Astyanax mexicanus: one gene and its partners. The protein of the gene in region 1 interacts with the protein of each later gene in a pairwise test. Links are inferred from orthologs where the notes say so. Each region holds a gene or a part of one and is shown on either strand. Other genes may lie near its edges. The genes, in order: ccdc172, fam13c, dctn2 and hddc3.

The links.
Region 2: the proteins of ccdc172 (region 1) and fam13c interact in binary tests that used the Homo sapiens proteins (3 or more experiments, as listed by UniProt). The two-hybrid records come from large-scale screens. The link is inferred for Astyanax mexicanus from reciprocal best matches to the Homo sapiens genes CCDC172 and FAM13C.
Region 3: the proteins of ccdc172 (region 1) and dctn2 interact in binary tests that used the Homo sapiens proteins (3 or more experiments, as listed by UniProt). The two-hybrid records come from large-scale screens. The link is inferred for Astyanax mexicanus from reciprocal best matches to the Homo sapiens genes CCDC172 and DCTN2.
Region 4: the proteins of ccdc172 (region 1) and hddc3 interact in binary tests that used the Homo sapiens proteins (3 or more experiments, as listed by UniProt). The two-hybrid records come from large-scale screens. The link is inferred for Astyanax mexicanus from reciprocal best matches to the Homo sapiens genes CCDC172 and HDDC3.

Annotation. Positions count from the first base shown.
Region 1 is NC_064414.1:5,318,903-5,326,672, reverse strand, and holds the start of ccdc172 (coiled-coil domain-containing protein 172), read right to left. Parts: upstream 3,010-7,770; 5' UTR 2,914-3,009; coding exon 2,835-2,913; intron 2,047-2,834; coding exon 1,961-2,046; intron 1-1,960. Other genes in the region: gfra1a (GDNF family receptor alpha-1a), read left to right, coding at 6,540-6,579.
Region 2 is NC_064422.1:5,001,424-5,009,065, reverse strand, and holds the start of fam13c (protein FAM13C), read right to left. Parts: upstream 3,020-7,642; 5' UTR 2,475-3,019; coding exon 2,306-2,474; intron 1-2,305.
Region 3 is NC_064412.1:9,109,561-9,116,796, reverse strand, and holds the start of dctn2 (dynactin subunit 2), read right to left. Parts: upstream 3,020-7,236; 5' UTR 2,856-3,019; coding exon 2,820-2,855; intron 438-2,819; coding exon 369-437; intron 1-368. Other genes in the region: kif5ab (kinesin heavy chain), read left to right, coding at 5,553-5,681. UniProt on the Homo sapiens protein: Part of the dynactin complex that activates the molecular motor dynein for ultra-processive transport along microtubules. In the dynactin soulder domain, binds the ACTR1A filament and acts as a molecular ruler to determine the length.
Region 4 is NC_064430.1:136,547-143,994, forward strand, and holds the start of hddc3 (guanosine-3',5'-bis(diphosphate) 3'-pyrophosphohydrolase MESH1), read right to left. Parts: upstream 3,006-7,448; 5' UTR 2,853-3,005; intron 2,100-2,852; exon of another isoform or gene 2,095-2,099; 5' UTR 2,093-2,094; coding exon 1,981-2,092; intron 1,366-1,980; coding exon 1,310-1,365; intron 1,085-1,309; coding exon 844-1,084; intron 403-843; coding exon 272-402; 3' UTR 1-271. Other genes in the region: vps33b (vacuolar protein sorting-associated protein 33B), read left to right, coding at 4,069-4,164, 5,195-5,275, 5,898-5,959, 6,035-6,084, 6,188-6,255, 6,658-6,703, 6,796-6,890. UniProt on the Homo sapiens protein: ppGpp hydrolyzing enzyme involved in starvation response.

The DNA of each region.
Region 1 (7,770 bases):
CATTGTTGAGTTTTGAGCTAGTTAATTTTATATGTACACTACCAGTCATCATTTTTATTTATTTATTTTTTTTCTACATTGTACATTAATATTAAAGACGTGAAACCTATTAAGGGATACATATGGAACTATGCTGTGAACAGTAAAACTCAGGAACTCCTGAGATCTGTCCTCAAAGCAGGACAAATAAATGTGGCTACTAAGAAGAATCTAAAGTTAAAAAACATATTCTGGTTTGTTTAGAAAATACTTTTTACAATGTAAAAAAATCATAAAAAGAAAACATGTTGAATTAGACGGTGTGTCATTGTTATTTGAATTTCAGAGTATTAGAGATGTATAATGATATTAATTTCAACACATTTCTACATTTTTGGGCATAATAGTGAATAACATAATAGTGAAGGATGTTCTTTGAACTTGTTTGTTAAGTTTTGCTCTGCGAAATGCTTTGGGAAACAGAACTGGATTGATTTTAGGAAACATTTCTCTATAATGCTCTGTAATGTCAAACTTGTTTGCAAAAGTATTTTTTTTATATGAGCTTACATTTCTCTGTTACATTACAATATTTTTCAAACCTGTTTCACATTATGTTTCTCATTATGTAATATCTGTTTAAATCTCGCTGATTCTGGTCTCAATTTAACAAATCCACGTGAAAGTATTGGCATCCACAGATATGTACTGTACAATGGACATACAGGATACTGGTATTCACAATCCCCATACTGATGCATTCCCATTACGTTACATTGATTTTTTCCAGCTTTGTTATGTTAAATTGATTTTGTGTCAGAGTGATTATTAGTAATGAAAACTCAATAATAGCCTCAAATAATAATATCCATCCGTCGCCTCCCACTGTTGTCACGGATGACCCAGGCAGGGAGACGAGGAGGCGGACACAAGTGCAGGTAGGGTGAAAATAAATAATAATTTAATAAATAAATAACAAGAAAACGAGAAACAAGTAAACACTTAAACATAAAACAGGGAGATACATACAAGGAACTATGGAATAAACTAAATGACTGAAAATAACCAGAAACAAACGAGAGGAACCAGAGAACTAAAACAAACAAACTAGAGATAATAATAATGATAAACAGACAGGGAATATATACAAGGAGCTAAACTAGGAATCAACACAAAGCAGGGGTATGTACAAGGAACTAGGGAACACGGAAATAAACAAGAAACTAGAGATAAACAAAGGACAAGGGCTAAAGCTAAGAAAACGAGGGCTAGGCTAGAAAACACGAGAAGACAAAAAAACAACAGAGGAAGGTGCAAAGACCGACGGAGGACAAGGTGGCAGAGGAGGGCTATTTATAGTAACATAAAACACACTAGAATTGGAAACACCTGGGGAAGGGGCGGAGCTACAAATGAGAAACACATGGTGGAAATCTACTGACAGGAGACACAGAGAGGCACAGGTCACGTGGGGAAGACACACAGAGACATGAGACAGGGCTAAGACGTGACAACTGTATTGCACACATTTACTTCACCATTTAGAAAGCTCTGTCTGTCTGCAGGGTGTCAAAGAGGTAATTAAGGAATAAAGTCGTTAACTAATTACTGATCCAATAGGAAAATACTAACTCAGGTTGTGTTTTATGCTTTGTGCACGATGGGTTAACACATCTGATTGAGTATATTTCCACTCGAAACATGATGTACAATGTTTTTCAAAGAGCTAACTGAGCTAATTATAATCCAGCGGAAATTAGAAATTGATTTTGCAGCGCTGCCTGTAGTTGATCCTCATCTTTAATAAAGTCTTCCGAATACATTAAAATGTTTAATTCACAAAACCAATTGTTCCTATAACAGGAAATTCTCCATAAATATAAGCCTTACATAGAATTTTGCTAAACATCAGAATCAATTACAAAAAGAGTTTTATTAAATAAAAAAATTAATTATTATATTATATAAAAGTGGATCTTACCTTTTCATTCAGCTCAATATGTGCGTGTTCCAGCTTTTCAGTGAAAGACTTTATTTTCTCCTCAGTCTTGATGATAGCAGCTTTAACTAGTTGGAAAAAATAGAAGTACAATGTTATAAAAGAGTTTCAGTTTAGTTCTCCAGCACTGAGGGTGGAGCAGTATTAGCATTAGCCGCTAACTGCACTAAGCATTAGCTCTTTTGCCGTTCAGAGGTGAGTATTATCGGTTTGTAGCCTGCTGTTACCCTGGCTAGCACTGCTTGAGCAGCATTAGCATTAGCCACTGACCGCACTAGGCGCTAGCTCTTTCGCCGTAGCACTAGCAGTTAACCGCCTTAGTGGATATCTGGAAAACTAAGCTAACTGTGAATAAACATAAGCGCTTTTCTCACTGAAATAAACAGTTTTTTAGGAGAGAAATCTATGTAGATTAACATCCTTTTTTTTAGAATTACACTTTTGTTTACTTACCTTAGCTTTATTTCACTTAGTTAACCTTACCCCCCCACCACCCCTTTAGGACCTGCTGAATTAGAAGGGAAACATGGCAACACCCCTGTTTCTTAATAGTGTCGCATAAAATACCTTTTATCCCGCCTTTGCCTTATAGTGCAAAAAATACTTTTTATATTATAATATAATAATACTTATCATTAAAAGGAAGTGAAATACAAAATAAACGAGACAAGACTTGAGCTACCGAACGGTTAGCTAGCCAACTAGCTTGTTAGCAGTTAACAGGGAGTTAGCCATCTGTTAGCCACTAATTTAGCCACTAGCTAGCATTAGTTTACTTACTAAGGTTAGCTAACTCTAGCTAACATAGTTGCCTAAGCTAGTTAGTTAAATATCTAGCCAGTTTAACAGTTTATACCTTCATGGAGCTGGCGAGTGTTGTCTGACACTTGTTGCTCAGTCAGTAAAATCTGCTGAAAGAGAGAATCCAGACTCATATTTCCAATAAAGAGTAATATTTTAACAAAATTTAATTATCTATAAGTTAGCTTAGCATTAATTTCCTTCAGTCTTTAAACAGAAGTGTTTTCTTTTCACACCCATTTCCTGACAAAAGCTAGAAAGGCCAAATCCCGCCTCCTCCTATGATTGGCTGGAAGAACTCTTTCCTCTAAGCAACGATTGGTTAATAATTCCTACTTTCAGTTAGTGCACCCGTTTTCAGGCAGTAACAGTAATGGTCACTGTTATTCAAACAACACAGTGAACAAACGATGTAACTAACATTATTAAACAGTAGTAAACTGAAATATTTTAATATTACTTGTAATATTTTAATATTAATATTAATAAATAATAATATTTAATATTATTTCTAAAACATTCTATCACAACTTCAGGTGATTTGATAGATAGTGATAAATCATATTTATAAAGTTAGTTAGTGCACCCTTTTTGAGTACTAGTAATTAGTACTCAGTATTAATCAATTAATGTTAATAGTGATCAATATTAATGATCACTCAAAATTAAACTTTAAATGATAATGGAATTCCATCAAAAGCAGTGCATTTATCATAATTATCATATCAACAATATATATTGTTGATATGATAAATGCACTGCATTTATACATTAACTTAAATACATTCACATTCTTTCCTTATTATTTGGCCAAAAAGTTTATTTATTTATATTTTATTGATTTAGGTATTATTAATGTGCAATTATGCGTACATTAGGTTGTTTTAATAGCACCAGAAAAGTAACCTGAGGCCAGAATACAGGATACTATGTTATAAATGCATTAATGCATAAATGCAGTTACTTAGTTAGACCAGCACCTGGCCATCTCCTGAATCAGCTGCGTGAAGGAACTGAGCACAGTTAACTAACTGATGTGCTGTAAGAAATGTAACAGGGTGGTGTACACACTCTCTCGCTCCAGCTCTGTGATGTAAAGGACTACAGGCACTTTCTCTCCACCTCCACAAAGCCGCCCGTCATTCATCACAGGCCTGCTTCAAAGAGCTATTAGAGCTGCCAGCCCGGGTATTGTTTGACGTTTGTAGGCCCCGTCAGCAATCAATAATTTTAATTCTCTGCCGTTCGGTCCGTCAGGATTTGTCCCGTCATCCTTTACTTTGTCCAATTTCCTGAGCGCTGTGGGGAAGAGGGTTTTGATCCAGGGCCATGAAGCACATTAAAGTGTGAACGCAGCTCGTTTACGGCCCAGACTTTATCACTCTGACATTCATTTGCAAAATTAATAGTAAATATTGATTGAGGCTTTTCATATGTCTCAGGATTGATGTCGCGTACCTTCCTGCGGCTGACGATCCTCAGCCCAGTGCGCGAACCTGCTTACTCATCATATTCCAGTTTCTCACCATTAAAACAGGATCCTCACCCAACACACACTCCTAAATCACCAGCAGAAATGACGAGAAGCTCCATATCAAAGGTTACAAATCAGTCCGGTTATTACACATCGCTTCATTTTCTTTTCGACCCCCCGGCCTGAGGGGAAGTGTGGGGCCGTGCGGACCCCCCGCTCACGCTCATTAGAACTGAATGGAATCACACTCTGATTTATAAGAGCTGCGGAACATGGCAGCTGATTGCAGGCCTGCAGTCGATAGACTCGGTGATGTAAACGGTGTTTTAAACTATTAAGCTGCTCCGGAGCGAGTCGGACGGGGTGTATGCAAATCAATGGGGGGTAAATTATACATGCCGTGTTAAAGTTCAGTATGTTAAATATGCAAATAGGTGTTTAACTGAGTTCAGTTTGTACTACTTAATGATAGCATGAGTGGGATTAAATGGAGCCAATCCCCTCCACACCGAAATACAGACACCCCACACAGACACACACACACACACACACACACATACACACACGAGTGAAAGTGAGCGAGAGAGAGAGAGAGAGAGAGAGAGAGAGATATGCTTTTAGTTTGTATTACACCATGACTGATAATTTGAATATATATTACATATTCTAGTGTATTCTAATAATACATGCCACTAACATGCCACATGGAACATGTCATGGTACATGAACTACTATTGTGTCCCATGACTTTTGCCATGTTCCATGGAAGCTAAAGAATGCTGCACCGGTCTGTGGGATATGTGTGTGGGGTCTCACTGGATTTCATTGAATGCAGATTTGATTTCTGAGTCTGGCTAGAGAATTCTAAAATTTAATTAATGCCACTTTGCTGCGATCATGCTGGCCAGTGTTCAAGCTCACTCACAAGTAAGTAAAACTACTTATTTTGTGATCAAGTTTATAGTTTGTATTTCAGTTTTTTTCACAGTCAAGTCACAATATAGTTACCACCAGTTACCAAAGTAAAACAACTTAGAAAGCTGTTGGTGTTACCAAGCCTGAAGTAACACTTTTCAATTACCTCTACATACTACTATCCTATGACTTTTGGCATGTCAGTGCATGAAAGAAAAGAAATATATATATATATATATGATATTGTAAATACAGAAATATATAGAAATGTATAGAAATATGTATATATATATTAAACCTATGATGGAATAGAGAGAGAGACAGAGGGAGAGAGAGAGACACACAAAGAGAGAGAGAGAGAGAGAGAGAGAGAGAGAGAGAGATCTAAATCTAAATCTAAATACACCAGTAGAGGGCGACCTCCGCTTGTTTTTATTCTCATTCTTAACGCAATAAGACTTGAGGTCTTTTCCATTCGTGTTAAAAAAAAAATCACACAGGACCGAAAATGGCTTTCTGTACTCCACAAGCTTCATTTAAAATCTTTAAAACACCTCAGTCCGGGTTTAAGATAACTTTACATAATTTGTATTTTTTTTCATACATAAATGCTGATATATCTGAACCACTTCTATTTTATTACAAAACGTGTATGTTAAATCTACCAACGTAGATTTAAGACATACAAATATATTAAAAATATTAATGAAAGAGCATTTTAAAATGTATAGAAAAAAAATATGCACTACAAACAGTGGACCCGCTGTAATATTTTCTCCACGCGTTTTCCGCCAAACCCCGCCCTAGCTTGCCACGATTGGCTGTTACTTCTACCCGTTTTATGCTGCGATTGGCTGGCACGCCCCAAGAACCAGCCCCCAAGCATCTACGCGTAACTTGTAGCCAATCCAAGAGCAGAACACGAAATCCGATTAGCCAATCCCAGTTTGAGGTGGGCGGGCTCTGTCGGAAAACGGGTGCGGAAAAAAGAGCGCACTTGCGCTGCGAACAGCACCCACAGTACGGCTGCCGCGCGCTCACTCCAGCGCGGGTTTCATTGGATACGGAGTTTTTGGGGCTCGAGCGTGTTTTATTTTCACAGTTATTTCCAGTGTTTTTTTCAATAAAATACTGAATAAATACAGTTTTTCCTGTGCTTTTCTCCACTCGCCCATGAGTTAGAGGCAGCAGCCCGGGCTTGGTCGGAGCCTCGGAGCGGTGCGGAGGACTGTACTCGGCGGGGAGGCTGCGGTGAGGATGCCCGGGCGGAGGAGCGCAGCGGGCGGCAGGAGCTGAAGCTGAAGTTCAGGAGCGGAGAACTGTGTGGAAATTATAATAAATACTGAGAAATAATCGCCTTTACGTGTCGAAATGATCTTCACTACGCTGTGTCTGCTGCTGCCACTGCTCGGTAAGTTTTATTAACGTTTAAAAATGTTACAAAAAGTGTTTTTTATTTGCTAAAAAGCGAAATTCCTAACCAAATTCTACATTTCTTGTTTCAAAAGTCCCAATTAGGTGCTGAGGCTCTGGGGTTTTTAGTTTTACACTTTTTGACAGTGAAAATCTAGTAGTTGCTCTTTACATCTTGAGTGAACCAATAAAAAAGCTCCAAAATGTTAAATCTTATTACATAGACTTCCATTTAAAGTGAACAGGGAACAACAATCAAAATCAATTAAAAGACCACCGCAACTGTCTATGTAAAACTCTGGGATACGGTCTCTATTATGCAAAGAAAAAAAAGAAAGAAAACTCCAAAATCACCATTTTTGTTCTTTACAATGTCAAAATTCATTGGAAAGTATAAAAGTACCAATGAAAATGCTTAAAAATGTAAAATCTTTTTACATAGACTTCCATTGAAAGTGAGCAATGAACACTTTAAGGTAAATTAAATGAAAGACCACCATAACTCCTTAACTGTATATGTAAAACTCTGGGATATTGTCTCTGTCATGCAAAAAACTCAAGAAATTTCAGTTTTGTTCTTTACAATGTTGAAATTAATTGTAAATGATTAATGGACCAATGGAAATGCTCCAAAATATGAAATCTTTTTTACATAGACTTCCATTGAAAGTGAACAATGGGGTAACAATGAGGTAAATTAAATAAAAGACCACCATAACTCTTGAACTGTCTACGTAAAACTATTGTCTCTATATTGTCTCTATCATGCAAACAAAAAAATCCTCCCAAATCTCCAATTTTGTTCTGTACAATGATGAATGGACCAATAGAAATGGCTCCAGTGGATTCCCTTACATTTTGCCAGTCATATTTAATGAACCAAAACATTATGACCATGATATCACAGATAAAGTAAATACCAGATTGTTTCATAACACGGTCTCAAACAACTTCTTGACATTGTGTTAAATTCCATAGTGAATGGACCAACACTTTCAAAAATGACCCCAATGGACCAGTGGAAAAGCTCCACAAATTACAGTGCTTTGTTTTTTTTTTGCCTTTTGATAATACCATGTGGCAAAATTTTAATTAAAACCATTCACAAATAAAGTAAAGTACAGATTGTCTCATAACTGCCCGCGTGCCAAACTGGGATATTGCCACAAATCTGTTGTTGCTCACGATT
Region 2 (7,642 bases), on another chromosome or scaffold:
GGTAATGCTGGACAACCAGTTACTGGTGTTTAGCTTGGTAAGGGTTAATCATGGTTGAAGATCATCTAAACCATCAAATTCAGTACATTTTAGTTCACCACTTAATTTTGGTGATTATTACTCGCTGAAAAAAAAGCAGCATGGCCAGCTCAAGTTGGTCAAGATGGTTAACATGGTTGACCAGTTTATCTCTTTACTAAAATACCTTATGATTTTGATGGTTTACTTTTATGGCTGGTCTAGACACATGTTTAAAATTTAACTAAGCCAGTTAAAGAGTATAGCCAAGCTTGACCATGGTGGTAGACCTACATGAACAGCATATAGTAATATGATCAAAAAACAACTAAAAAATACAACATACAGTTCCACAGGGTCCTTAAAATGTCTTAAAATGTCTTGAATTAAAATCCAAGTAAATAAATTTACTGGAAATCTGCTGTAGGTATTACATTTTCAGATGATGCGTTTATTGTCGGTGGAAAAACACAGTGCCCGACCATGAACATCTAAAGACTGCCGTTAGTGGAAAGCTAGTTAAAATTAGCGGCGAGTTAGCTAGCATAGTAACGTTAGCAGCGAGCTAGCTACGTCACCGAGGAGAGAACTAAGGTTAGCGTTGAGCTAGCTAACATACTAACCTTACCGGCGAGTTAGCTAAGCTGCCGGAAAGAGAATTAAGGTTAGCAGTGAGATAGCTAACACATTAACTTTAGCGGCCAGATAGCTAACGCTACCAGGGAAAGAAATAAGGTAAGGGGAGAGCTAGCTAACTTTAGCTGCGGGCTAGGTAGCATACATACATTAGCAGCGAGCTAGCTAACTGGAAGGTCTAAATAAGTTCTAATTCTGGAACACTCAGGTGGAGACTTCATTTGTCCATAGTAAGTACCCTTACCCGGGGTACAAACCAAAATTATTAGTAGTTGTAGTTGTAGAAGCAGCGATGGTGTTAGTAGTAGTATTAGTATTATAGACATCACTACAATTTAATTGATCTTTTTTTTTTTTCATTTGTCCAGAAAGCTACTAAAGAGAGCTCAAGTAAATTATGTTATGTTTGCTCTGTTCTGCATCACAAAATTGAAAATAAATGATTTTCTCCCAAAGAAATGATTACTGCCTTTTGGGTTCTAAAATTATATTTATCAAGGTCTTAAAAAGGTTTTAAAAAGCATTAAATTTGACTTTTAAAATTGTGCAAGAACCCTGGACAATCTGCCTATCAAGAGCTGTTAACCAGCTTACTTATCACTATAGGGTTTAGTTCATGTTTTGCCTGGATGACCAGTTTTTTGAACCACCTTGACCGTCAAAAATGAGCAGCTTGGACCATCTGAATCCAGCAACCTTCAAAATCTGCTCTTGATTAGAGTAGATTAGGTGCATGGAAATACTTAAACAGAGACAGCAATGGAATAGAAACCTGTGTGTGTGTCAGTGTGAGCTCGAGTCGTGCTGGGAGGAGGTGTGGGCAGTCTGCATCTCTGTCCAAACTCTCTGCGTTATTAATAGACGCCTGCATGGTGCCAAAAAAGCACAAGCAAAACAAAAGCAAAGCAGTCCCTCCCCCTTTTACCTTCCAGAAGCAGCCTCAGAGTCTCAGCCACGTCCCACAAACCCCATTCTCAGCTCTCTATCCTGCTATCTGTCTCTCTCTCTCTTCCTTTCTTCATTTATTAAATCAACCATTCATTTAAATTAATCCATTCATTCACATGCTTCATGCAGATAACCGATTCTTGAATGACAACTGAATGTCTCAATCGCACATGAATCACTGTTATAATACAGGTATGCATGCATTCATTCATTGAGCCATTAACTCAACCTTATGCCAATGATGCACACATGCAAATATACATACAAATTATCGATCATTAAATTCAACAGACATGTAACGTATACATATTTATCCATTCCATCACTAGGGTCTGACGCTACACCGACTCTGCCATATGAATCAGCGCACACACTGACGTCAAAGGTAGCCTACATTACAGTTGTGCAGCATGATGCATCCATTGAAAGCCACTGAAACCTGTGGGAATCGATGCGTTACATACAACAGCAGCTAAAATGCATCCATGTGTACGTATAGAGGAATAGAATTCCACGTGTGTGACTGATTTGCATCCCTGCAAAAATAACACAGCATGCTTTATTGCATTAACAATGCGTTAACGATTATTTTCCCTCGTGCAACCCAAGCTTGCAACCCACGCGTTACAACCACCACACCTGCCTACCACCCTTCCACCTGCTGTGTGTGTGTGTACATGTGTATGTGTGTTTGTTAACCTACCTTGCGGGCTAATGTCCTCTCTCAGGCTGGCGCGCGAGGGGGTCTGGGGGTCCTCTCTAAAGCCCAGGCCGGGTGGGCTGTCTTCGGGCGAGCGTCCCAGAGGTGGGCTGGAGTCCTCCTCCAGAGCCTGGAGCTTTAGGAGCGAGCCCTGCAGGCAGAAGCAGAACATGGCAGAGGACGAGAAAAAAGGGAGGAAGGGATGATGGAGCCGGGTGCCGCTGCAGATTCAGCAGGCAGCAGAGTCGCGCGTGCGCCTGCCTGCCTGCCCGCGTTTGCGTGTGTGTGTGCCTGTCGGTGTACGTGCGCCGATCTCCTCGCTGCGGCAGCTTCTTCCCGCGCGCATGGATTATTCATATCCCTCCTGGAGGTGGAGGAGTGGTGGGAAAAACGAAAGACAGAAAGAGAGAGAGAGAGAGAGAGAGAGAGAGAGAGAGAAAGGGGTGTGTGCCTGTGCTGAGGGGAGGGGGGTTGTAGCGTCAGCAGTAGGATGAAGGGGCGGGGTGGGGTGCACACGCACACGTAGAGGACCGAAATATGGATGGAAGAATGGGCGGATGGATGGGTGAAGGCGTGGGGAAAAAAAGGATAGAGAGAGGGTGGGGGCTTTCTCAGGATTTTCCCGCATCCGGGGGTGTGTGTGTCATCATGGTAAGGGGGTTTGGGGTGTTGGAGAAGGAGGGCGGGTGGGGTATTGAGGAGGATCTCACTGAGCGTGCTCACTCGCTTGCATGCGCACGCACGCACTGACGTCAATGCGCCCCTCCCCTCACATCCATTCATAAAAACACAGGAGGAGGCGGAAAGTACAGCTGCCAGCATCAGCACCAGTAGCAGCATCTGTACCAGCTGCAGCAGCAGCACCAGTACCAGCAGCATCAGTACCAGTAGCATCAGCATCAGTACCAGCAGCATCAGTACCAGTAGCATCAGCATCAGTACCAGCAGCATCAGTACCAGCAGCATCAGTGCCAGCAGCATCAGTACCAGCAGTAGCATCAGTACCAGCAGTAGCATCAGTACCAGCAGCAGCATCAGTACCAGCAGCAGCATTTGTACCAACAGCAGCATCAGTACCAGCAGCAGCATTAGTACCAGCAGCCGTATTAGTACTAGCAGCAGCATCAGTACCAGCATTAGCATCAGTACCAGCAGCAGCATTAGTACTAGCATTAGCATCAGTACCAGCAGCAGCATTAGTACTAGCATTAGCATCAGTACCAGCAGCAGCATTGGTACTAGCAGCAGCATCAGTATCAGCAGCAGCATCAGTACCAGCAGCAGCATCAGTACCAGCAGCATCAGTACCAGCAGCAGCATTGGTACTAGCAGCAGCATCAGTACCAGCAGCAGCATCAGTACCAGCAGCAGCATTTGTACCAACAGCAGCATCAGTACCAGCAGCAGCATTAGTACCAGCAGCAGCATCAGTACCAGCAGCCGTATTAGTACTAGCAGCAGCATCAGTACCAGCATTAGCATCAGTACCAGCAGCAGCATTAGTACTAGCATTAGCATCAGTACCAGCAGCAGCATTAGTACTAGCATTAGCATCAGTACCAGCAGCAGCATTGGTACTAGCAGCAGCATCAGTACCAGCAGCAGCATCAGTACCAGCAGCAGCATAAGTACTAGCAGCAGCATCAGTACACCAGCATTAGCATTAGTACCAGTAACATTAGTATCAGCATCAGCATCAGTCAGAGAGGCTCTAGAACACAAACACACACACACTCGCACACTCTAACGTCAGAAGAAGACATGTGTTCTGACGTTGTCATGTTTGTGAAGTTGTGTCTTTGTGAGATGCTCCGTTTCATCTCTCTCAGCATCTTTCTCTCTTTCTCTAATGATCTCTTTGGCATCATCTCTGTATCTCTCTTATCCTCTTCTTAACCACCATCTCTCTCTCTCTCTCTCATTCACTCTCTCTCACTTGGACTAACTGGGTCTGCTGGCCTCTGGAGCAGTAGGCTGATGTTGTGTTCACTTCACTGGAGATGACTCATCCTCCTCTCCTATTTATTCCTTCCACCCCTCCTCTCTCTTTCTCTCTCTCTCTCTCTCTCTCTCTCTCTCTCCCAGTCTCTCTCTCTCTCTCTCTCTCTCAGGTAAAGACTGCATGCTTGTGCACACAGGATGCGTCCTCCTGCAACACAGACACACACGCAGGAACTGGCTCCTTACAGCAGAGGAGTATTCATGGCTGTATGTGGGGGTGTGTCCCCACACGTTACGAAAGTGTAAGAAAACGGAACAGTGCAACTGTAGAGAGTGTACATTTAGGATTTCTGCACTATAAATAGTTTCTTGTAAATATTACAGTAAGAAAATGACAACTTGTACTTATAGCCTACAACACTGTGACTGGGCAGTAAACCATTCAATAAAATATAACTGAATACCCAAGAGAAAGCAGCCCTGATAGGCAAGAGTCCATACAGGTGGTGAGTTAAGGGGGTGAGTAGAGGAGGTGGGCATCCATTATGTAGGGCTGCAGCTATCGATTATTTTAGTAATCGAGTACTCTACTAAAAAATCGATACAATTAATCGAGTAATCGGATAAAATATATTTGCTTGCCTAAAAAGCAATTTAAAAAAAAAAAAATAATAATAATAATTAAATAAATTAAGTTAAATTATTTAAACTAAATTATCTCTCATCTCATCGTCAACCGCTTAATCCGTGAAGGGTCGCTGGGGGGGGGGGGCTGGAGCCTATCCCAGCAGGCATCGGGCGGAAGGCAGGATACACCCTGGACAGGCCACCAATCCATCGCAGGGCAGACGGACACAGACAGACAAACAGACACATTCACTCACACACTCACACCTAAGGGGCAATTTCAATCAAGTTCCAGTTAGCCTGAACGTGCCGTCTTTGGACTGTGGGAGGAAACCGGAGGAACCCGGAGGAAACCCACGCAGACACGGGGAGAACGTGCAAACTCCACACAGAAAGACCAGGGTCGCCCCAGCCGGGAATCGAACCCAGGCCGTCTTGCTGTGAGGCGGAAGTGCTACCCACTGCGCCACCGTGCCGCCCTTAAACTAAATTATTTTAATTTTTAATACTTACATTTGTTCTAATAGACTAACCACACACATTAGACAGTATTTCTAATACTAAACAGCGCTGTCGTTATGTTATTAAGCTACACTGATGGAAATCTTATTGATTTCCAAAAACTTCCATCTTCTCCACCTGCGTCCTGTGTGTGGGTGACATAATGCTAAGCGCTTTTTCACATTAAAAGTCCGTGCTAAATTCCGGGCTTTGAGTTTTAAAATTAATTAAACGACTACTCGAGGCACAGAAAATGTATCAATCTTTTTTTTTTAATCGAGTTACTCAATTCACTCGATTAATCGTTTCACCCCTACCATTACGCAAATAAAGCATGTCAGGGGTCTTTTGGGTAACATATTAAGAAACAATAGATTGATTGTCTTAACTGTTCAGTTTAGATCATATTTACCCAAAATACTGGTAAATAAACTCTACCCAAACAAAGTGAGAGCAAATTGTTGCTTCAAACATATTAAAGCCTTAATGCACAATATTAATTTGGCATCAATAAGGCGTTATTATTTTTTTAACTCAATTAATTAAATAAGCCACTAAATTGGACTCCAACTTCTGCCGTAATCTGCCCCGCCCAATATGCAGATTGTTTTTCTGGAGTGGTTCATTTGTGGTGAGAACGTGATCTGGTCTCGATCCAACCCAGCTATCAAATATACTTATTTTTAATTGAATTAACTGCTGATAAGGCACAGTTTAATCTGATATATTAGTCAAATAATATACTGCTATGATCTAAGGCTGTCTCTGCTGCTCCAAGTTGTTTACACTAAGCTTGGTCTGTGCTGCATTCACTGCTCGCAGCCGCACTGCACGTCCCATTGAAAACACTGTAAAAGAGCAGCAGCACATTTTAAGCATTCTGTGTAAAAGCAGCTTCACACTGCACAGATATACACACTCAAACAGAATTGTACAATCCTTTATTGGAATTTTCTTTTGCTGTTAACTTACTGTAAAATAATTTTTCACAGTGTAACCACTCGTTTTTCCCTTTTTTCTTATACTGGTATACAGTAGTAAAATTAAAAACAATATCATACAAAAAGCACTTTTTTAAATTATGATTTCATGTATTAAAGGAAATAAACTATCCAAACCAATTTAACCGTTTGTAAAAAAGTGTTTGCATCCCCCCATCCATAAATTAACTGTGATTAATCACCCTTTCTGAAAGCTGTGTATTTTCACTACTAACTACAACCAGGCCTGTAAAATTAAGAAATCACTTCAATAGAACCTGTCTGATAACATGAAGCAGAAAAAAAAACTCAAAAACAACACATTATGCCCCGATCTAAAGAAATTCAAAAACAGATGAGAAAACAAAGTCATTGATCATCTATCAGTCTGGAAAAAATATAAAGTCATTCTGAAGCTTTGGGACTCCAGCAGACCACAGTGAGAGCTATTATTCACGAATAGAATATGGCTGAATGGCTTTTAAAAACAAAATAAAGGTTTAGGAGTGGCCTAGTCAAAGTCTGATTGAGATGCTAAAGATGATCTTAAACAGGACATTTATGCTCAAAAACCTTCCAATGTGTCTGAATTAAAACAATTCTGTAAAGAAGAGTGAAACAAAATGACACAAAAAATAACAAAAAAACACAGAGATGTGAAAGACTCACTGCCAGTTATCAGTAAAGCTTGATTGCAACCAAGTTATAAGGTTTAGGGGGCAAACACTTTTTTTCCCCACAGAGCTAGATTGATTTGTGCTTTTTATATTTATTCTGGTTATATTTATCTGACATTAAAGTTTATTTTATAATTGGAAAAATATCAGTATGACAAAAAAACAAAAATAAAAGAAATCTGTAGGGGGTCAAATACTTTTTCATGCCACTATATATACAGGTGGCAGCTGTGTTCTTAGGGTTCTTACAACAGGACATCGTTAAACAATTATTTACTGGATGAATTTACTGTAAAAAAAAATACAGTTGCAGTGTACTTTAAGTGTAAATATAATATAAGTGTTGTGGGTATACGTTTAGGTCAGTGTAGGTACAAGGGGAGGCACTTTATGATCAGTTTACAAAATGCTATCCCATCACTTTTGTGTAATGTATATTGTGATTATTACTCATTAGTACGTTTGCACATGTAATGTTTTAATAAAACCTAATTGCATAATTAAAAAGATGTGTGTGTAGGCTCTTTACCTTGCATGGTATCTGAGGGTCATCCGTCTCCTCGGTCAGTAAAAATGTGAAGCTGTAGGGAAGACATTAGCAATTGTAAAAAAAA
Region 3 (7,236 bases), on another chromosome or scaffold:
CCATACTGTACTGCACTGTCCGGCAGAAAAGCACCATTAGAGGCACAGAAGAAGAACTAAAATCAAGCACATAATTTCAAATCAGAAAGAAATAAAAGTCCACAGTTCTATGACTGATCTTCCCCGATTGAAGAAAAAAAAAGAGATTAAAATTAAGATTAAAACCCATGCAGTCACTTCGTCAGAAAAGGAGGACCTCTTACTTGCACAAACTAGAGTCCAGGGTGGATCAGAACAGGGAGAGTGGGTGGGTGGGGTGTTGTGATGAGGAGGGAAAGTTCTTATTAGGTTAACTGTGTGTCAGGCATAATCACACCTTCAATAAACACATATGAAACATCAAATCAAGCCCTGTGTTGATCACTTACCGACTCAAACTGTGCTTGGTCATCCTCAGGCAACTCGCTGGTCTCATACACATCAGGCTCGTTGAAGGCCTATGGAGAGATTAAACAATCCTATTAATTCTTTAATTCTAAAAACACAATAAGGCCGAATGTTATGAAAAGCAATCTAATTGCCAGAACAAACAAATAATATTCTGAAACACATAAGATATAATGTACATCCAAAAGCATAAAAATAACCCCCCTAATTAGTGAATTTAGCTGATAAGGTGAGAAGGCAACGTAAAAAGTCTTAAAATTGCGCACACAACATAATGTACATCTTGTTTGTATGATCTCTTTTGTCGTTTGGACACTCTAGAGTACATCCACATGAGGCCAAGGTCACCATGCCCTTAAATAGAATTATACAAAACCACCAGCATTGGGATGTGGATATGCAGATCTGGGTTATCAAAAGTGAATTACCTCCATTTAATTTGTTTGTGCAGAGCCTCTGAAGTACCAAGGTTGGAAAAAAATTATATTTAGAGACCTTAAGACTGAAGGAACTATTTATTACATTGAGAAAGAAATACTGAAGCGGTTGATTTAACTGTTAAATAGAGAAAATGATTTGTTAAATTGAACTAATGATTGATTAAATTGGAGGAATTATGGGCTGATGCCGATTTACCCGTTAGAACACATTATAAAGTTACAGAAAGATTAAACACCCCAGTATACCATTTATATACCTTTTATCATCCAACCCACTGTATACAAACAATTAAATAAAATGTTTCATCTGAGCAATTTGTTTTCACATTTATGTCTTCACATTTATTTAAATAGCTAACTGATTCTTATATAGACGGGTTACAGCTGTAACCCCTCTTTTTTTTAACTAACAAGGTAAATAACAATAACAATAGATCTATTGAAATTTAAAAATAAATAAATAGCTTAAATCAACTCATTTTAAAGTAGCATGGCCAGAATCACTTAATTCTTTTCAGGTATACAATAAACACTTCATCTAATATAGTCTGGAAATATTGGTCACATTCTCTGATGCAAATGACAATGAAACTAAAAAAAAATATTGAGCATCCGTAGTTAGTTTTTTTTTTCCGTATGATCCAAAAATAATTACATAATCTGGAGAGAGCATACTCCTCCAATGTCACTAATCAATGCTCTCCTGGCTGAATGCAATCCATCATAATATATTATTTATTTTACATATGGTTAGTTAGCTAGTGTATCTGTACTGTTAAAGTTGGTGTACTGTATGCAAACAATGGAATGTTTCATCTGAGCAATTTGTTTTCACAGTTATTAAGATAGCTAACTGGTTCTTACATTGACTAGTCACAGCTTTAAACCCTCTTTTTTTAATTAACAGGTTAAACAACAATAACAATAGATATATTGAAACTAACAAAAACAAAACGAAATTAGCTTAAATTAATACATTTTAAAGTAGCATGGACAGCATTGCTTAGTTCTTTTCCGGCATACAATAAACTTTATTGTATGAAATATTAATATTAATATGAGCAAATATTAGTATCAATGCTCTCCAGGCTGAATGCAATCAAATCATCACAAAAAGGATCCATCATCCTTCATAATCATCAAACTGAAAACCATTGGACAATTGGCCTTATTGACAGGATGCTTTATTTTTGTTAGCTAACCTATATTTAATGTTTTAATATATAGTTAAGTTAGCTAGCTACTGTAGTTATCTGTCCTGTTGAAGTTGGTGACCTGCCTGGCCGCCGCCCTTTAGACAGCCGCTTCCACAACACTGCCAACAGGGCAACTGCAGGACTGAGAAGCTTTACTTAAAAATCCTGCTGTTTTTAGTAATAAATTTAGAAGTAAATAGCTATAGAGATTTGTTTCGTTGTTTGTTTTATGGCAATAATGAAGAAGCCAGTTAGCTAGCAAGCTAATAAGCTGCTTGACTGAAGCTAAAATGCGTTTACAGCCCTGCCAAAACAATAGCATTCTGGTTAGTTAAGCTAAGCTAACCTAGCTCAAATCTAAACCAAACACTTCCCGGTGATTTTCAATAGGATTTTGTGCACAAAAAATAGCTATATTCACCTATTTAGCTACAAAAGATAACTAGCTGAGGCTGCATTGTCTTCAACCGGCTTTTCAGGGCGGAGTAATAATGGACAGCTAGCAAACGCTAGCTAGATATGTTAGTCAACTAGCCAGCTAAGCTAGGCTAGCTACCAGACGCTCTTTTCTAGCTAACTTCACTTTTTAGAAACACAAAGCTGTGAAATATCGCCCATAACTGCTGCAGCCATGTGCCCCAAAAATATCCACACCCGCAATAAGTCTATCAAAATTAATAATACGAATGCGGCTGGTTAACAGTCCCTTTAGCCACTTAGCTGCTAACGCTAAACGGAACAAGACACCGTTAGCCCGATGCTAACACTGTGCTGGTATTAAATTATAGACACTTACAATGCCTGGTAAATTGGCGTATTTCGGATCTGCCATCGCAACCAAGAAGAGAAACCAGAGCCGCCAGTGAAAAACTCAGATATTCCTGTAAATAATGTCCAGGTTTAAAAAGGGCGTTTATTGATGCAGATAGGGAGAGAACTGAGTCAGCGACCTGCTGCTGACAGAAGCGATAAACCCGCAGCAGTCTCGCGTGAACTGCAGCCAAAACCCACCTCAGTACAGGCACTTCCCAGTTTAACCAGACCACTCACACTAACACCACTTTCCCAGTTTAACCAGGCCACTCACACTAACATTGCCCAGTTTAACCAGGCCACTCACACTAACACTGCCCAGTTTAACCAGACCAGTTCTACACACTGCCCACTTTCCCAGTTTAACCAGGCCACTCACACTAACACCACTTTCCCAGTTTAACTAGGCCACTCACAATAACACTGCCCAGTTTAACCAGACCAGTTCTACACACACACACACACTGCCCACTTTACCAGTTTAACCAGGCCACTCACACTAACACTACCCAGTTTAACCAGACCAGTTCTACACACTGCCCACTTTCCCAGTTTCACCAGGCCACTCACACTAACACTGCCCAGTTTAACCAGACTCATATTATATAGATGTACTACACACAGAGTGATCTATTTTAAGCGTTTATTTATTTGAATCAGTGTCTTAGAAAATGTTAATAATATTTTATGTAACCAATTTGGTAATTTTTGGTACTGGCAGTGTGGGCAGTGTATCAAGTCCTGCTGAAAAATGAAATCCGCATCTTCATAAGTTGTCAGCAGAAGGAAGCATAAAGTGCTGTAAGATTTTTCAGGAAAACACTGCACTGACTTTCAACTTGATAAAACACAGTGGACCAACACCAGCAGAGACATGTCTCTCCAAACCATCATTGATCCAAGCAGCTTGGACTGTGTTTCTCTCCACGCTCCTGTCAGATTCTGGTTCCTTGATTTCCAAATTAAATGCAAAAGTTACTGATGGTCATTGATGGTTTGGAGAGACAGGTCATCTGCTGGTGTTGGTCAAAAGTGTGTACAAGAAACTGAGACGCTATGGACGGAACACTATGGTTAGTTCTTCAATTGTCAAATAATGTTTTAATGTTGTTTTACTATACAATATTACAAATAATATTCACAATCAGAGATTGGACTTTTTTGTGTTATTTAGCAACAACTCCTTTTCGGTGTGTTATTATGTAGGGTAAATCAAAGGTGATTAGGGCATAAAGTGAAAGGGGACAGTTAAGCTATATGGTTCATTTTCTTCTGGTTATAAAAATCCCTAGCTATAAAACCACAAAATATAAATTAACATCTTTAGTATTACAGAAATGGACAATTTGTTTGACAATGTTGTTCTGTCCTAATCAGCCTCTATAGTTTTATATATAGTAGTAACAATAAATAAAACAGTATTGATATTGTTAACTGGCCCAGCACAACTGGGCACACGTATTAGAGGTGCAAACATAGTGGAGTGAAGTTGTATTTAAAGGATAACTCTGGTGTGAAATAGACTTGGGGTGTTGTAAAACATAATAGTGAGTACAAACTTTTGTTGAATAGCCCACCTTTAGCCAATGCTGCCAACAGGCTTACAATGTGAGTGATAGGGGCATAGCATGGCCCATGCAAAGAAATTGCTAATTTTACACATTACCAGCTCAAAGTAGCTCCAATATTCATGTTTTAGCACTGAATAAATTTTGCAATCTGTTCCCCTATCCTACCTATTAGTTGGTGCTTGTCAGTCGACTTCTTGTGACTTAATACAGTTTAATAGACTACCTGTGCACAATCAAAGTTCTCAGTGCCTCATTTTAAATGTCAGGACCCTCAGAATCCTACAGATTAAGTGTGGAGCTACTTTGAGCTTTTTAATGGTGTACAATTAGCAATTGTAAGCATGGTAAGCCTGTTGGGAGCATCGGCTAGAAGCGCTGTATTTGGGAATGCTGGAGGTGAAAGAATGTAAGCTATTTGACAAATGTCCATACTCGTTTTTTCTGTTTCACTACATCCCAAGTCAATTTCATACAGTATTTCTCCTTTAAACTGTAGAGTCTGCTTTCCTTTCCCTTCTTTCCTGCAGTGCTTCAGCTCAAATTTTCATTTTCTATACCTTGGGAATTAGGGCTGGATCATTTGGAGCATCTCCAAGACCAGGTTTGCTGACCACTGCTCTTTTCTGCCACGCGCTACGCTTTTGTTTTCCTCGCTTCTTTTGCTTTCATGTAAGAGGCTTCAGAGCATCAGAGTAGTGGTCCTGATGCGAGCATCATCGCGTCGTCACGACGCCAGGGCACAGGCTCCGCCTCTCGCAGATAAAGGCCAGTCAGCGTGGAGCTGGGCCGAGCGCGTGCGTCCGGACTGCTGCAGCATCACACACCTCTCACTCACCTCACACGCACTGATCTTCAGACTGGAATAGCAGGCAGAGCTGCAGATCGTTCAGGAGTGCAAGCCACCGCGTTGTAATTAGCGCTAAACGCAGGTAGCCTATAACGAGTTTGCGCACAGAGAGGAGGTGTTCTGTTTGGGCTGGATGCTGGAAGACTCCTAAACTGCGCATCTTCATCACATCCAAGCAACTCCTGCGTCGAGTCTGCTTTGAATTGAGCGTCTGCGAGCGCTCTCCACGCCGAGGCTCGCCCGCGTTCACGCAGTTGAGCTACTTTTCCCAAATCGTAGCGCAACGCAGCGCAGCGCAATGGCTGATCCAGGCGCAGAATGCAACATTAAGGTGCTGTGCCGGTTTCGTCCCTTGAATCAATCCGAAATTGTGCGAGGAGACAAATTCCTGCCCGTTTTCCAAGAAAATGACACTGTTATCTTGGGGGTAAGTGGCGGATTCTTAAGTATTTGCTGACTTTTAAAGGGTTTTATGGTTTTATAAGCGGATTTCATTAAGAATGCATGCATACATTGACGCAGAGAGGCTATCAGGCTCTTGGCACTCCCCTCTTACTCTTATCTCTTCCCTAAGAAGTTGCCTGCAATCAATAACCAGCTATAAGTCGTTTAATAAAAACAGCTGCATTCAGTAGGAACTCAGAGTCTAATCTTACCATTTCTTACATATTAGAACCAACCAAAGCATTATGGGCTCATGTTACAGCAGAGTGTTTATTTTAATGACTTTAAAGGTTTGAAAATGCACTTATCTCAGTCATCAAATATCATCATCTATAGCTATAATGATGGGCTGATGATGTGTTAAGTCAGCTGTGTCTTACCCAAGCAAACGCAGAGCGAGAAGATGCCACAAAGAGTGTGAAGAAAAAAAAAGCAATTGGATCAGATTGTTTGGCACTGATTGGCCAGTCTTACACAGCAGGACAGATTCACGTTTTACTGCCAGGATTTCTGAGCAATTTGCTGTGTCAGGTCAGAGTGAAATAGTGCACTTTGTTGTCATACACTGTCAGATAAAAGGTACTGAACAGGTACATTTTTGTTCAGAACAGTACAGACTGTACAAATGTTCAAATCAAATGGGCAACATCATCTCTCAGACCCAAGTGTGTACCATACAATTGAAAAGAAAAACAGTTACAAGCGTATTTAAGTATATATGTGTTTCTTAACTAAAGGTACTGAACGCATAGCCTTGTGGGTACCACCCCAGTGATAGAAAGGGGTAACAACCCTAGTGACAGAAGGGGTACCACCCTAGTGATAGAAGGGGTAACCACCCCGGTTATAGGAGGGTAACCACCCTAGTGATAGGAGTGGTAACCACCCCAGTGACAGAAGGAGTACCACCCTAGTGATAGGAGGGGTAACCACCCCGGTGACAGGAGGGTAACCACCCTGGTGATAGGAGGGGTAACCACCCTAGTGATAGGAGCGGTAAACACCCTGGTGATAGAAGGGGTAACCACCCTAGTGATAGAAGGGGTAACAACCCTAGTGATAGGAGGGGTAACCACCCTAGTGATTGGGGCGGTAACCACCCTAGTGATAGGAGCGGTAACTACCCTGTTGATAGAAGGGGTAACCACCCTAGTGATAGAAGGGGTAACAACCCTGGTGATAGGAGGGGTAACCACCCTAGTAATAGGAGCGGTAACCACCCTGATGATAGAAGGGGTAACAACCCTAGTGATAGGAGGGGTAACCACCCTAGTGATAGGAGGGGTAACCACCCTAGTGATAGGAGGGGTAACAACCCTAGTGATAGGAGGGGTAACCACACTAGTGATAAGAGGAGTACCACCCTAGTGATAGGAGGTATATCCACCCTAGTGATAGGAGGTATATCCGCCCTAGTGATAGGAGGGGTAACCACCCTAGTGATAGGAGGGGTAACAACCCTAGTGATAGGAGGGGTAACCACACTAGTGATAAGAGGAGTACCACCCTAGTGATAGGAGGTATATCCACCCTAGTGA
Region 4 (7,448 bases), on another chromosome or scaffold:
TAGAGTATAGAGTAGAGTATAGAGTAAAGAGTATAGAGTAGAGTATAGAGTAGAGTAGAGTAGAGTATAGAGTAGAGTAGAGTAGAGTATAGAGTAGAGTAGAGTATAGAGTAGAGTAGAGTATAGAGTAAAGAGTATAGAGTAGAGTATAGAGTAGAGTAGAGTATAGAGTAGAGTATAGAGTAGAGTATAGAGTAGAGTAGAGTATAGAGTAGAGTATAGAGTAAAGAGTATAGAGTAGAGTATAGATGAGTACAGGGGTGAATTAGAGTTAGATCTTGACGCCTCTCTCAGTGAAGAGCTGCTGCAGTTTTTCCTCCAGAACCGGATTCGTCCCACGCAGTCCTTTCACCACCTGCCCCGCCCACAGGAAGTACTCCTGAACCCGCTCAGCCGTCCAACCTGATACACACACACACACACACTTATAATTACACATCAATCAAGCAGAATATTATGACCACTGCAGTGATACTGAGGTGTTTAAAAACTCCAGCAGCACAGCTGTATCTGATCCACTTACTGTACCAGCTCAACACTCACTAACACCTCATACACCACCACCATGCTAATCACTGCAGTGCTGAGAATAACCAGCCAAATAATGATAATAATTACAACAATAATAATAATAATAATTATAATAATAATTACAATAATAATAATAATAATAATAATAATAGCTGCTCTGTGGTGGTTTTCTATGCTGTGGGTTCTGAATTAGGAGGAGAATAATAAAGATAAATACAGAGAAACACAAACAGTCTGTAATTATTATAGAACTACTGAATAAATAAAGGAATAAAGGGTTTTGGGGTTGGGGTGAGGGTTGGGGTTGGGTACCCTGTGGGGTGCAGCGGTTCAGGTCCCGCAGGTTGTAGAGTTTATCGGCGAGTTTGACGAGTTTGGCCTGGCGGCTGCAGTTCGGCGCGTGTTCAACCTGCTGCCGCTTTCTCTCCAGTTTAGGAAGAGCTTTATTATCCGTCACTTCCTGAACGATCCTCGCCACCGTGCTCCCGAACGCCGCCTCCAGCTCCTCCAGCGTCGTCTCCGTGTCCTCCACCGTATCGTGAAGGAGCGCCGCCTGAATAACAGACCGTTCAGTTATTAATTAATATCTCATTTACCTGTCACTCTGTTTTGACTGGTACTGTATAATAATATATTTTAAGCAGTATATTACATGTGTTAATAATATATGTTTATATTACATATATAATCTTTTGGCCAAGTTGACCCAGTATACTGTAAAACGTTTTTGCTACATAACTTTGTTTTAATTTAACAACTTTAATCGATCAGGACTCGCCTGTAAAACTTCAATATCTGTGATTCCGCCTTCATGACTCAAAATCCGCGCCACCCCTGTAAAAAGATCAGAGTGTAGATTAAACGTATTTATACAAATTCAACAGACAACATCATTATTTCAGCATTAATCAGTGATTTATATAGAAATAAAGAGTTGGGAGTGATCTGGTTTAACATGACTAAAGTTTGGTTGAGGGGGATTATGATCATGGTGTGGGGTTGTTTTTCAGAAGTTAGGCTCCGCCCCTTAGTCCCAGTGAAAGAAATTCTTAATGTTTAAACAGACCAAGATATTTTAGATTTCATGCTCCCAACTTCCAGAGGAGGTTTGGGGACGACCCCTTCCTGTTCCAACATAACTGAGCACCATAAAGATCATAACTCCATAAAGACCTGGATGAGCTGGACAAACACTCTTCTGGAAGAATGGTGAAAAATTCCCATAAACACACAAACACACTCCTAAACCTTGTGGAAAGCCTTTCAGAAGAGCTGAAGCTGTAAAAGTTTAACTGAGTTTTACACTAATCTGTATCTCAGGATGTGAAAAGTGTAACTAACACTAAATCAAACTCTGATAAACTGTACTGTAGAGTAGTGTAATGTAATGTATTGATAACTTTATTATTAATTTTATTATGAGTTATTGTGTACGGGGTGGTGAGTTACCGATGGGGTGGTTGATGTACGGAGTTTGCTCCGGATCTTTACGGCGTTGATTACGATGTTTCTCCGCAGCGAAGTTTATCGTCTCCAACAGAATCACAGCGTCTGAACTCATTTCTACACTTAGAAATAAATAATATAAAATAAAACAATATTAAAACTTCAACATTTTTCAGACACTTTTTTTCTGTGAACAGTGACAGAATTTAATTCAGTTTACTGAGCTGAACAGCAGAACTCTGTGCTTCTTAACCTTTTCTATAAGAGTATTTTATTTATTTCAGCTTTAAAATGTTTTATTCTGTAACCCTGAATCAAATCTAATTTAATTTGGGTTTAATTTTTTGCATTTTAAACATCTTTATGTATCAGCCTTAACAAATATATACATTAAACACTAAGTTACATATTAGTATTGATCTCAGTATTGATCTCAGTATTGATCTCAGTAATCTCCACAGGTCAGTAAATCTCTACTTCTTTATACTGGATTTTAAATCATAGCTGAATTTACTGTAATGAGAAATACACTGCATTTCTACACGAGATCTGCTGTAGTTTTACTGCTTTAAACAAATATTAGTTCACAGACTTAACTATACAACTTGTGTTTAAACTGTTTTTAAAATAAACAATAAATCAATTTTACAGTTTAGTTAAAGGACTGATTTCTGTTTCTGAGCTCAGAAAGATAAATAACCCAGATTATCAGCGGTTAAACAGAATAAAAAGCGGTTTTTATTCTGCGGTTAAATCAGTTAAAAAATAAAAGTGTGTAAAATAATAAAATAAATAAATCAGTTTAAATCTCGGAACCATTAACTATTATTACATGAGAAACTAGACCGAGAAATAAACTCAGTAAAATCACTCACCTGTTACAGATTATACTCCTGCTGTGATTCGGATTATTAAAGGTTTATTAAGTTTTATTTTATTAAGTTAAATCTGTGATTATTTTTAGCTCCTCTGAGGCGCTGCTGTTTCTGCTAAAGCTGATTTATAGCGAGACCGCTCACTTCCGGTATAACAGGAAATCCCTGCGCACCAATAGAGGGAGCCCGGGGGGGGGGTGTGAATAATTACTTAATTTATATAATTGTATACAGCAGAATAATGTACTTTACATCGTTACTGTATACTTTAGTTTATTTATGCAGTAAACAGGTTTTAGGCGCTGCAGTGCTGCTACTGTGAGCTGATTGATTAGTGAGCTGTTGCTCGAGTTGCAGTCAGAGCACCAATAAAAGACATAACCTTAAAAATTATGTTATCGATGCTGAAACTTGTGAAATTGTTCTGTGTTTCAGTATAAAAAATTTAAACTTTTATGAACTCTGTTTTTTGCTCAGTTGACCCATAATAATCTATTAATATCGGACTCCCTCAGGAGCGCCCTCTAGTGTCAGACAGACCCTGAACACTCCGCAGTGACTCCTCTCCTCGCTATAGGATCTCTGTTCTGCAGTGTGCGCCGCTGTAACGGGTCCGTGCGGAAACAAACTGCTCTGAATTCCATTTCTTCCGGAAACGGGGAGGAGGTGAGGCAGCTGCTGTATGTTATGTATAATATTTTAGATTTAATATTTTAGATTTATTAGGATTTAAAAGCTTCAGATAATTACATTTACATATAATATCTTTCATCAGATGGATAATGTGATTAATTATGGATAAAATCGAGAAAATGTTCCAAAAAATCCGGATATGCCGCTAAATCCATCTGTCAGTTTCTGCAGTAAAGAGAGATGTTTATATTTCTGTGTTTGTCTTAATTTTTATATTATTATGAGTCTCGCGCTTTAGCACTGCTGTGTTCTGTCTGTGAGCCGTTAAATTACATTTGTGTAAATGCTGTCTTGATGTAATTGATGTAATTGATGTTGTTGATGTAATTGATGTTATTGATGTAATTGATGTTGTTGATGTAATTTATGTAATTACTGTTATTGATGTAACTATGTAATTACTGTTATTGATGTAATTGATGTAATTACTGTTATTGATGTGATTATGTTGTTGATGTAATTGATGTAATTGATGTATGTAATGCAGGCGGCTGCAGTGAGGGGGCGCTGTGCTGGATGTCTGATGGCTCAGTCAGGGAGGAGAGACGCTCCGGAGCTTCCGGACTTTTCCCTGCTGAAGAGACTGGCCCGGGACCAGCTCATCTACCTGCTGGAACAGGTAACCAGTATAACCAGTATAAACCCAGTATAACCAGTTTAAACCCAGTATAACCAGTTTAAACCCAGTATAACCAGTATAACCAGTATAAACCCAGTATAACCAGTATAACCAGTATAACCAGTTTAAACCCAGTATAACCAGTATAACCAGTTTAAACCCAGTATAACCAGTATAACCAGTATAACCAGTTTAAACCCAGTATAACCAGTTTAAACCCAGTATAACCAGTTTAAACCCAGTATAACCAGTTTAAACCCAGTATAACCAGTATAAACCCAGTATAACCAGTTTAAACCCAGTATAACCAGTTTAAACCCAGTATAACCAGTTTAAACCCAGTATAACCAGTTTAAACCCAGTATAACCAGTTTAAACCCAGTATAACCAGTATAAACCCAGTATAACCAGTTTAAACCCAGTATAACCAGTTTAAACCCAGTATAACCAGTTTAAACCCAGTATAACCAGTTTAAACCCAGTATAACCAGTATAACCAGTTTAAACCCAGTATAACCAGTTTAAACCCAGTATAACCAGTATAAACCCAGTATAACCAGTTTAAACCCAGTATAACCAGTTTAAACCCAGTATAACCAGTTTAAACCCAGTATAACCAGTTTAAACCCAATATAAACCCAGTATAACCAGTTTAAACCCAGTATAACCAGTATAAACCCAGTATAACCAGTTTAAACCCAGTATAACCAGTATAACCAGTTTAAACCCAGTATAACCAGTTTAAACCCAGTATAACCAGTTTAAACCCAGTATAACCAGTTTAAACCCAATATAAACCCAGTATAACCAGTATAAACCCAGTATAACCAGTTTAAACCCAGTATAACCAGTTTAAACCCAGTATAACCAGTATAAACCCAGTATAACCAGTATAGCTGTGGGCAGTGCTGATGGTGCTGTGGCCGGAGTTGTGGGCGGTGCTGGTGATGATGTGGGCGGAGCTGTGGGCGGTGCTAATGGTGCTGTGGGCGGGGCGGTGGGTGGAGCTGATGGTGTGTTTGTTTTATAGCTGCCTGGGAGGAAGGACTTGTTTATCGATGCTGATCTGATGAGTCCACTCGACCGAATAGCCAACGTCACCACGCTAAAGGTAAACACACCATCACCAATACTCAACCCCTCAATACTCAACCCCTCAATACTCAACCCCATCAATACTCAACCCCTACAATACTCAACCTCCTCAATACTCAACCCCTCAGTACTCAACCCCTCAATACTTAACCCCTCAATACTCAACCACTCAATACTCAATCCACTCAATACACAACCCCCTCAATACTCAACACACTCAATACTCAACCCCATTATACTCAACCCCTCAATACTCAACCCCTCAATACTCAACCCACTCAATAATCAACCCCTTAATACTCAACCCCTCAATAATCAACCCACTCAATACTCAACCCCTCAGTACTCAACCCCTCAATACTTAACCCCTCAATACTCAACCACTCAATACTCAATCCACTCAATACACAACCCCCTCAATACTCAACCCACTCAATACTCAACCCCATTATAATCAACCCCTCAATACTCAACCCCCCAATACTCAACCCCCCAATACGCAACCCCCCAATACTCAACCCCCCAATACGCAACCCCTCAATACTCAACCCCTCAATACTCAACCCCCTACTCATACAGGTTCAGTACAGTTCAGGGGGCGGAGTTTAAATCATTACATTTGTCTTTTTCTTTTTCAGCAACATGAAGTGGATAAATTATATAAAGTGGAGCTGAAGCCGATCGTCAGCACTGCAGATCAGTGAGTTTAATTCTGCATTTTAAAGAATAAATTCATTAATATCTGATTTATTAATACAGTATTTTCTGTTTTTAGGCTCTGCTTTTTGATACGACCTCGGATACAGACAGTAAAATGGATCTCAGGTTTGATCTGAATTCACTTTAAACAGCAGTTCTGTAGAGATAAATAAACATTAGCAGTAATATTAATATTAATATTATTACTATTTAATTTGAATGTTTGCAGATGTAGTTAACCTGGATAAGGCAGCTGGAAGATTGAGAAGATATAAGATCATATTTACCCCTCAGAAGGTAAGAGATAATATTTCATATCTTATATTTATAATTTAGGGCTTATAATTCAATATAACACAGTATAATGAGATACTGTAATCAGGGGGATTGTTTAATGTTAGCTGAAATGTAGAACAGTTATCTTAATTAAAAGTTGAGATTTTATCCAATTAGAATAGTGGGATCTAACCCCAGAGTGCAACACTAGTGGAGGCGGGGCTTAAACACAACACTAAACCCACTAAGAGAATTTATACAGTATAATGTTGCGCTGTTAGCTGCTGCAGCAGAACTGGTGTTTAGTGCTCTCCTCCGAGCGTGTTCACTGATGAAGCTGCAGTGATTGGTCACATGATCGCGGCTGGGATTAATCGTGTTAAGATGTGAAAATGGTGAATATTCTAATGTGATGTTCTGCAGTTCTACGTGTGTGAGGCGGTTCTGGAGGAGCAGGGGGTGTTCGGGGGTAAGTGCTCTAAATTCACCTCAGATGTACCCTCAAATAAACAGAAGATTAAACACTGAATTACTCGTTTTATTTGATGTTATTTTTTGCAGATGTGACGTGTGATGAATGGGCTTTTTATCTCCTCCCGCTGGATGATGACATCATAAGTCTGGAGCTTCCTGAGTTCTTCAGAGAGAATTTTCTGGTAATGTTTTACTGATGTCGGCTGATTGTGTTCAGTGGAGGTTCAGAGGTCAGGTTTTAAGGTTTTACATCATTATTTATCAAACTGTTTTTTACAAAGACTGTTCACAGCTTTAAATAATCTTTATTAAATAATCAGATTAAATACAGTAATAAAGCTGCTGAAACTAATTAAAATAATAAAAATGAGCTTAAATCAATGAATTATAAAAGTAGCACAGCCAGTGTTGTTTGGATTTTTTCCAGCGAACAATAAATAAATCAGCAAATATATATGTTTCAGATATCGACCAAATCTCAACATAAAAAAAACTGTATAATTCTGATATCATAATGCCCTCTCCTAATTATTAATTGACACGAGATAAATCATTAATAATCATTACAATAGTCATTATTTTTTTAACTAATGTCTCGATTCAAAATATCTTTTTGTGTTGTTTAATAGTTAATCAAATTACACATGATTTTGATTGTTGATCAGCTGTATAATATAATCTGTTTTGATTAAACACTCATCCTGTATTGAGGTATTATTGTGTATTGTTGTCAGTTGTTT